2 linked regions of the Cricetulus griseus genome follow. The protein of the gene in region 1 purifies or fractionates together with the protein of each later gene. This does not show direct contact. Links are inferred from orthologs where the notes say so. Each region holds a gene or a part of one and is shown in the gene's direction. Other genes may lie near its edges.

What was found.
Region 2: the proteins of Snap25 (region 1) and Stx12 purify together in Homo sapiens (co-immunoprecipitation; 3 studies listed by BioGRID and IntAct, with this or other methods). This does not show direct contact. The link is inferred for Cricetulus griseus from reciprocal best matches to the Homo sapiens genes SNAP25 and STX12.

What each region holds. Positions count from the first base shown.
Region 1 is NC_048599.1:41,904,731-41,908,749, reverse strand, and holds the start of Snap25 (synaptosomal-associated protein 25), read left to right. Parts: upstream 1-1,219; coding exon 1,220-1,291; intron 1,292-3,272; coding exon 3,273-3,314; intron 3,315-4,019.
Region 2 is NC_048595.1:20,383,130-20,387,386, forward strand, and holds the start of Stx12 (syntaxin-12), read left to right. Parts: upstream 1-1,457; 5' UTR 1,458-1,568; coding exon 1,569-1,686; exon of another isoform or gene 1,687-2,200; intron 2,201-3,632; exon of another isoform or gene 3,633-3,873; intron 3,874-4,257. UniProt on the Homo sapiens protein: SNARE promoting fusion of transport vesicles with target membranes. Together with SNARE STX6, promotes movement of vesicles from endosomes to the cell membrane, and may therefore function in the endocytic recycling pathway.

The sequences.
Region 1 (4,019 bases):
AGACATACCAACTATAGTGACAAAAGGGAGGTCAACAGCTTCCTCGACATAGGAGGATGTAGAGAATAGCAGGTAGAATAACAAAGAGTATACAGAAATTTGGTGGGGGATTAATGGACTGGCTCATTTTCTTTTTCAGAGCAGTGGGTTACTGAGTGTTTTACAACTGTATGATTTAGATATGTGCGCTGTATTTAAATGTGTATGTTTTTAAATATGTCAACTGTTTCTCAATAAAACTGTTAAATATAACTAAATAAATATAACATTAAAAAATATAAGAACAATGGCCTGCATTGTTCACCACATCATTCCCAAGCTTTGTATGGTTTGCGTCTTTAAAAAAATACTCTAGATGAAGCCATTTATGTTCCTGTGAACCTGCTGTGGTGATATGTTATTTATGATTTATTAAAGCTTGCCTGAGGAGTCAGAAAGCAAAGTCAGCCACAAGCCATAGAAGCCAGGCACACTTCTTTAATCCCAGAAGCCAGAAGCTAGGAAGTGGAGGTACATACCTTTAGTCATAGGACTAAGATTAAGAGGTAAACAGATCTCTGTGAGTCCAAGACGACCCAGATCTACACAAGAAGTATCCAGTCCTAAAGAGAGAAACAGCTCACATAAAGATGATCCCAGCACCTGGGATCACACACCTTTAATCCCAGCATTAGGAAGGTATATAAGACAGGAACTAGGTCTCAGTGTCAGGTATTCATTCTCCAGCCACATTGAGAATAGGAATGCCTCAGCCTTGTTAGAGGTAAGAGCACTTTGGTAGCTTGACTGCTTTGCTTCCCTGATCTTCAGGTTGAACCCCAATATCTGTCTCTGGGTCCATTTATTTTTCATGTTACAACCTGTAATTGAAACACTCAGAAGCTGAAGCAGAAAGATGGTGAGCTCAAGGCCAACCTGGACAACAATGCCAAGCTATCATAAAACATACCAATATGTGACTGTTTTAGTGATGGGGTTGATAAAACACTCATTCCCAGTACTTTTTGGAGAAATGACACAATTCTATTGATTCTTATCTGCGCTTGGCTTCCAGTTCAGAAGTTATCTAAACCCTGGTGACAGTGTGACACTTAGACTTTCCAGTATGCAGTCATTCATATTAGCTCTCATATTCTCCAATATGCTTCTACTCAGGTTCTGTAGCCAAATCCATTGCTGACTTGCTGGTCCAGGTGCCCAGCAACCCCCTACCATTACCATGGCCGAAGACGCAGATATGCGCAATGAGCTGGAAGAGATGCAGAGGAGGGCTGACCAGCTGGCTGATGAGGTAAGGCATAGAGAGGCAGGGGGCAAGCCCAACACTGGAAGGTGGGTGGTTTCAATTCAGATTTTGAGAAAAGAATTCTTCAATGTCTAATTTTTTTTTTAAGGTGAAAAAAGAACTTCCTTTTTCTCTAAGATTCCTGCAGGCTAGACAGGATTGATTATAAGGCGCAAATACAAATTAACATCTCAGCCCTGAGGCAGGACTCCTAGACACTTGGGAGGGCAGGGTCCTCTAGGAAAAACTTTATCTTTAGATACCTAACAGTATGCCATGGTTACCTCAGTAATGAAGGTTACTAAGTGTGGCTATTACTAAAATTGAAGTACATAATTTGAAAATAAATATATATAATTAAAGCAATGGTATTATGAGCTCAAAAGTCATTACTTGTAGCTAGTTTAGCACATTTTTTCTGCTATCTATGCCCTTGAGTCATTTACACTCACTGTATGTAAGAAATGGAAACTGCAGAGTCAGTTTACCACACTGCACTCAGAAACCAAATCAAAAGCAATTATTGAGAACCAGTCATTGGCAAACAATATCAGTTGTGCTTGCTTTATTGTTTGTTGATTACCTATAGTTAAGACAGAAGGGAAAATATTAATAATCTAGATAAAACTTTTTAATTATGTATGTCTGTAGCTATTACATTAAGAAAATAATATACAGAGTTGGGTGGGGAGGGAGGGTTGGATCAGGGAGGAGCTAGGGGTAAGAGTGGAAGAGGTGAATATGATCAAAATTCATTGTAAGGCATTCTCAAACAGTAAAAATGTTTTTGAAATATAAGAAATTTTGAGGAAGTCCTCCATTATTTGGAAACTTATTTTTCAACAAAAACATCACCTTCTTTACTAATGAGACTAATTCTAACATTAAGTCGTCACTGCTTCAGGTTCTTCTTATTCATGAACATGAGTGAAGTTATCCAGTTGCAGTGACCATGTTAGAATTATACTAGTTCATCATATGAGGAGTCATAGATAGACAACACACACACACACACACACACAAAAAAAAAAAAAACTGACAGGAGTTTTGGGTGAGAATCAACCTGCTACACAGAACTGCTAACCAAGGATGCTGTGTTGCATCATGTGTCAACTCTGTGCTCTCTGTGTTTCACAGCCTTACAATAGATGCAAAGATACATAAATGTATTTATATTTTTTCCCAGAGTCAGAGCATTTTGCCAACACATCACTGATAATAGCTATTTTATTACAAAAGGGAGTCCACTTTAAGTCCATTGCAGCAAAAATTCACATCCTTCAGGCTCCTGCAGAAACTTGTCCAACATAAATTTGCTATTTGAAAGCATGGTTTTGAGAAATCACACTGGTTGTTGCAGTGGAGCTATGTTAAAGGAACTGAGAACAAAGTGGTGATGCTGTGCCTGAGGGACCAGCTGCCAAGCTCAAAGCTTTCTTCATGCTTTTTTTCTTATCTAAAAATGAAGGTAATTACAGCTGTCTCCTATGGGATAGTTATTGCAAACTTGCTTGATTTTTTTTCACCCTAAGGCGACAGCTTAATTTGTATTGATAACAACTTCCAGTTGTGTTTCAAGGAGTTTTAAAGGAAACTCGTTAAACTCATCTCTCCTCATGAAAACTTATGTTTGTGTTTAAAATTCAATATCCCTAGTTCAGGGAGGCCAAAGTAGTCCTTGAAGTATATGAGATAGTTTTCCAGGCATCCAGAGCATACAAAATGATTTGTCCAGATTGCTTTGCCTTTGATATCAAGATCAGCCTCATATGGTTTTGGTTTTATAAAGATAAGCTTTCATATGATTGCTCTGGGAAATCTGATCATGTAGAAAGAGATTGAAACTGGGAAGACATTTGGTGTTTCTGTTGCAAAGTGTAAGTCATGTGTGATAGGGACCTTTGTGTTTCTCATGTGAAGAAAGCATTTCTGACTTGCCTAGTGCTCTGTTAGTGCCTTTAACAGTGTTTATGTTTTTCCATCTTAGTCCCTGGAAAGCACCCGTCGCATGCTGCAGCTGGTTGAAGAGGTAAGGAGTGGATTCTATTAACATAAACTAGGTCCCTATGTTGACATGTTCATTCCTAGCTCCTATTGTTTTTCCCTAAACCATGGCTCCCTGGCTTCCAATATGAACATAGCGTATCAGAAAATACTGGAGATTTTGGCATGAGTTGTTAGCTAGTTATCAAGGTGACCTCACCACCCTCCAGCCTAGGCTACCTCTGCAGTGCATAGTACAGAGAAACCTACTATTTCTAAGCTCCTGTTCCCAACAGTCACAAAAGTGGGTCCCAGTAAGCAAAGTGGTGCTTAATCTATGAAGGAATTACCTACATAAAAGTCTTCATTTGTAATGATTTTGTTGCAATATATTACAGCTAATCTAAAATTCTTTTCTGACTCCAACTATATTTATAACTTTGAAAAATATGTATTTATGCAAGCATATCATCTTTTGAAATTGTTGTATTTAGTGTCCAGCACGAAAATCTAAGAAAAAATAGCAAAAATCTTAAACAAAGAGAAAAATCTAGTCCAATTAAGTAAATATAAAAGTTCTTTTATGTGACTGACTCTGAATTGCACATCCATTTCTAAAGCATTTGTAATTCATGGTTTAATGAATCCCAAACCATTTTTAAATGGATAAAATAGGGCAGATAGCAATAATGGAATCAAAAAAGCATTTGCAATAAAACCTACTCATTCCAATTTGGTAGAACAGCAGTCA
Region 2 (4,257 bases), on another chromosome or scaffold:
AGAGATGGCTTAGCCGTTGGGAGAACTGACTGCCTTTACAAAGGATCCAGGTTCAATTCCCAGCACCCACTGTCTGTAACTCCAGTTCCAGGGAACCTAACACCCTCACCCATACATATATGCAGGCAAAATACCGATGCACATAAAACAAAAATAAATTAATTTTTTTTTCGTTTTTCGAGACAGGGTTTCTCTGTGGCTTTGGAGTCTGTCCTGGAACTAGCTCTTGTAGACCAGGCTGGTCTCGAACTCACAGAGATCTGCCTGCCTCTGCCTCCCAAGTGCTGGGATTAAAGGCGTGCGCCACCAATGCCCGGCTAAAAAAAAATTAATTTTTAAAATCTACTTTATAGATAAAAATGAGATGCTTCCTTGCTGTGAAGTGTTTATGAACCAGTGACCTAAAGTGAGGATTCACACACAGTATGTGCCCAACAAATGTTACTAGTTTATTGCTTAAATTAGGATTGGAGGGAGGAATAAAAGTAGTTTGCAATCCGTAAGAGTTGCTAATTGGCTACAGATCTGAAGCTCAAGATTGCTTAATTTCCCATATTTGAGTCTGGGTTCTCAGAACAGAACAGAATAGGAAGTAGGGTTGAGGAAATCTCATACACTTTTATGCAAATCGAAAATTCTTGCATGCTGTCAGCGGACTCTGGGGAGACACAAGATGACTGGGAAAACGTATTCAATGGGCTCCCAGCTATTTGATGTCATTTGCCCTGTCTAGCATCCCCCAAATCTGGAGGGACCAGGGATGAACTTTTCCCATAACCTTTTGAATCAGGAAGCCCTTTCCCCCCTTTCACACCATGGGAGTTGGGCAGTCATCTGCTACAGCAGGAGGGGCTCTGTGGTAGTGGAGGTTAGAGAAGGCTTCCCAGTTTTTGTAGGTGTGGTGTGCACCTTGTAAGTTGGTGGGCTGTCAATCAAATGCGACCCGGCGGGCAACACCTATCTCATGACTGAATTCCGCAGGAAGGGAATGTTATTGACAGTGTTCCAGATTCCCTTGAAGTAAGCAAGCATGGAGTACACCATGTTGGCCGTATACTTCCGCAGTAATTTTATCCTTGTCAGAAGTTTAGGTGTTGGACAGTTTTCACCATAGAATCCTGTCCGGGTACAATCGCATTTGTACCGGTCCGATCCCACGCTCATGCATTCACCTCGGTTTTGACACGGGTTGGAAAAGCAAAGATTTGCAGGGTGGCTAAGCGCCAATGCTGCGCCCAGCAGCAGGATGCGGACCGGCATCTAGGCGGGCGGCACGTGGCCGAGCGCGGGGCTCTGCGGGGACACGCTCTGCCAGCAGTTTGAAAACTCTCAAGTGACAGCGGCGCACGCGCACCACGGGAGCGGGGGGTGGGGTGGGGAGGGGCAGAGCGTGCGCGTGCGCGTGCGCATTGTCAGTGGGCGGGGTCAGTGCGCACGCAGTCGCCGCTCCTTTCCCCCCCGCCCCCCGCCCTTTCTCTTCCCGGTTTTCCTCTCAGCTGCGGAGCCTGGCTACTGGCAGCTTCCGGTAGGAGCGCCGCGAAGCGCGACCCGGTCTCTGCTCGTTGTCGATGTCCTACGGTCCCTTAGACATGTATCGGAATCCCGGGCCCTCGGGGCCCCAGCTCCGGGACTTCAACAGCATCATCCAGACGTGCAGTGGCAACATCCAGCGGATCAGTCAAGCCAGTGAGCGAGGGGACCCAGCTGGGAGCGGGGGGCCGCGGGGGGCGACCCGAGGGACAGGCCTGGCTGAGGTCGCCACGACGCGGAGCCCGGTCAGGGTCGCAGCCAGGGCCACAGCCGAGGCCGTCGAGAGCCTCCACTCCGGGCGCGGCGAGCTGCCTTCGGCGGGTCGGTCAGGCTCGGGCCCTTCAGGTCCACACCCCTGTCTCAGGCATTGTGATTTCACGGTGTTGGGTCAACAGAGCCTACTTGACAGCCCGAGGGTGGGAGGGAGTGTGTGTCATCTCCAGGACTGTGAGCAACAGTCTTGACTTGACGCAGTGGTCAGCCGAATTTTCCCTGTCATCGCCGTCTCTCCACCCACCTCGCTTTCCACAGTTTGGATCAGGGGTTGCTTGCTGGTTAAGGGCTTTTAGGTTCACATTCTGCTCAGCGGTTGGGTCCTGGGACATCAGCAACTTTCAATTAAGGGAAGTGGCGAATGCGTGTGTTTGGGTGACTTAATACACTGTGCTTCCTGTAATTAATTTGGAAATCAGAGTCAGTGACTGGTATTTAAGGGGTGGGAGGACTCCTGTTTTGTTAGAGAATGCACCGGGAACATTTTAATTTACGTTGTCTTTTGTAGCAAAGAAGTATTTATTTTTTTAAATTTCAAGCATGATATTTCGTTTTTTGTCTCAGTTGAGCTATTCTTGTATAAATCTGATACACAGAGACGCTTGGCTACAACTACATACCGAGTGAGTATGTAGTCTGTAACTGCTTGCCTTAAAACTCACTCCTCACCATTAGAGTCTAAGATTGTAGCTGAGAGTCAAATACAGGCTGTTTCTAGAGATTCAGAATCAGCCTAGAGCCTTGTGAACAGAACAACAGAGGCAGCTTTACTTTAAAAAAAAAAAAAAAAAGGTGACAACTATCTGTGTTATTGTGTTTTAGAGAGCTTAACTATACTGTTAGGGTCAGTTCTGAATTACAATTATGTTCTACACTTTAAAGCAGTCACTTTGCATTGCTTTTATTTTACTTTTGAGACAGAATTTCTCTAGCTCTGTCTGTCATGGAATTCACTTATTTGTAGACCAGGCTGGCCTTGAACTCAGAGATCCACCTGCCTCTGCCTCCCGAGTGCTAGGATTAAAGTCGTGTACTACCAAACTCAGCTTGTCACTTTGCTTTTAAATCTAAATGTAAATTGTAGAATTTGAGAGGTAGGTTTCTGGTGAGGGTAGGGTTAGGAGTAGGTGTTTGGTGGTAGGAAGAACATTCAGCTTGTGAAACCCAGATATTAAAAACAACAATAATGTGATCGATGCTTAGAAAGTATGGTACTTTGTGTTCCAGTTCTCATTTGTCAAGGAGCAGGAATACAGGTTAGATCAGAAAATCCTGGTTCAAGGGGCAGGCAAGATGGCTCAGGGGTAAAGTGCTTGCTCTGCTTTGCTCCCCAGAGCCCATGTAAAGGTGGAAGGGACAAATTAACTGCACAAAGTTGTACTCTGCCCTCCACACTCTTACCTGCAAGTGTACTGTGTGTGTTTGCATTAGTTTGTATGTATGTTCCACATTTACACTCAAAAATAATAAATAAAAATTTTTAAAATTTTGTGCTGGGTGGTGGTGGCATACCCTCTAATCCCAGCACTCAGGAGGCAGAAGCAGGCAGATCTCTGTGAGTTTGAGGCCAGCCTGGTCTACAGAGTTACTTCCATGACAGCCAGGGACACAGAAAGAAATCTTGTCTTGAAAAACAAACAAAACAAAAAAAGAAAGAGAATTTTGTTTCAAGGCTGAAGTTTTCTCACTAAGATTAAACCTAATTTGAATATCTTTCTGTGGAATAGTCTGTATTTAAGTATTAAGCTGTATAGTAAGTGTAGGACCTGGCATAGATTCTTGAGAGCTTGTTTGGAGGTTCTAGCTGAGGAGTGCAGCTACTCGTATACCTTTGACCGAAGACTGTCCTCCTCTATGACCAAGCACGAAGGCAGCTTTGGAAGATGCACACATGGAGCAGTGAGGGAGCCAGTGATTCCTAGCCAGCCAGATCAGCCGAATCAACCCTGGTGATCAATGGGTGACAGATACAGCAGCCAGATCAGCCGAATCAACCCTGGTGATCAATGGGTGACAGATACAGCAGCCAGATCAGCCGAATCAACCCTGGTGATCAATGGGTGACAGATACAGCAGACAGATCAGCCGAATCAACCCTGGTGATCAATGGGTGACAGATACAGCAGCCAGATCAGCCGAATCAACCCTGGTGATCAATGGGTGACAGATACAGCAGCCAGATCAGCCGAATCAACCCTGGTGATCAATGGGTGACAGATGCAGCAGCCAGATCAGCCGAATCAACCCTGGTGATCAATGGGTGACAGATACAGCAGCCAGATCAGCCGAATCAACCCTGGTGATCAATGGGTGACAGATACAGCAGCCAGATCAGCCGAATCAACCCTGGTGATCAATGGGTGACAGATACAGCAGCCAGATCAGCCGAATCAACCCTGGTGATCAATGGGTGACAGATACAGCAGCCAGATCAGCCGAATCAACCCTGGTGAT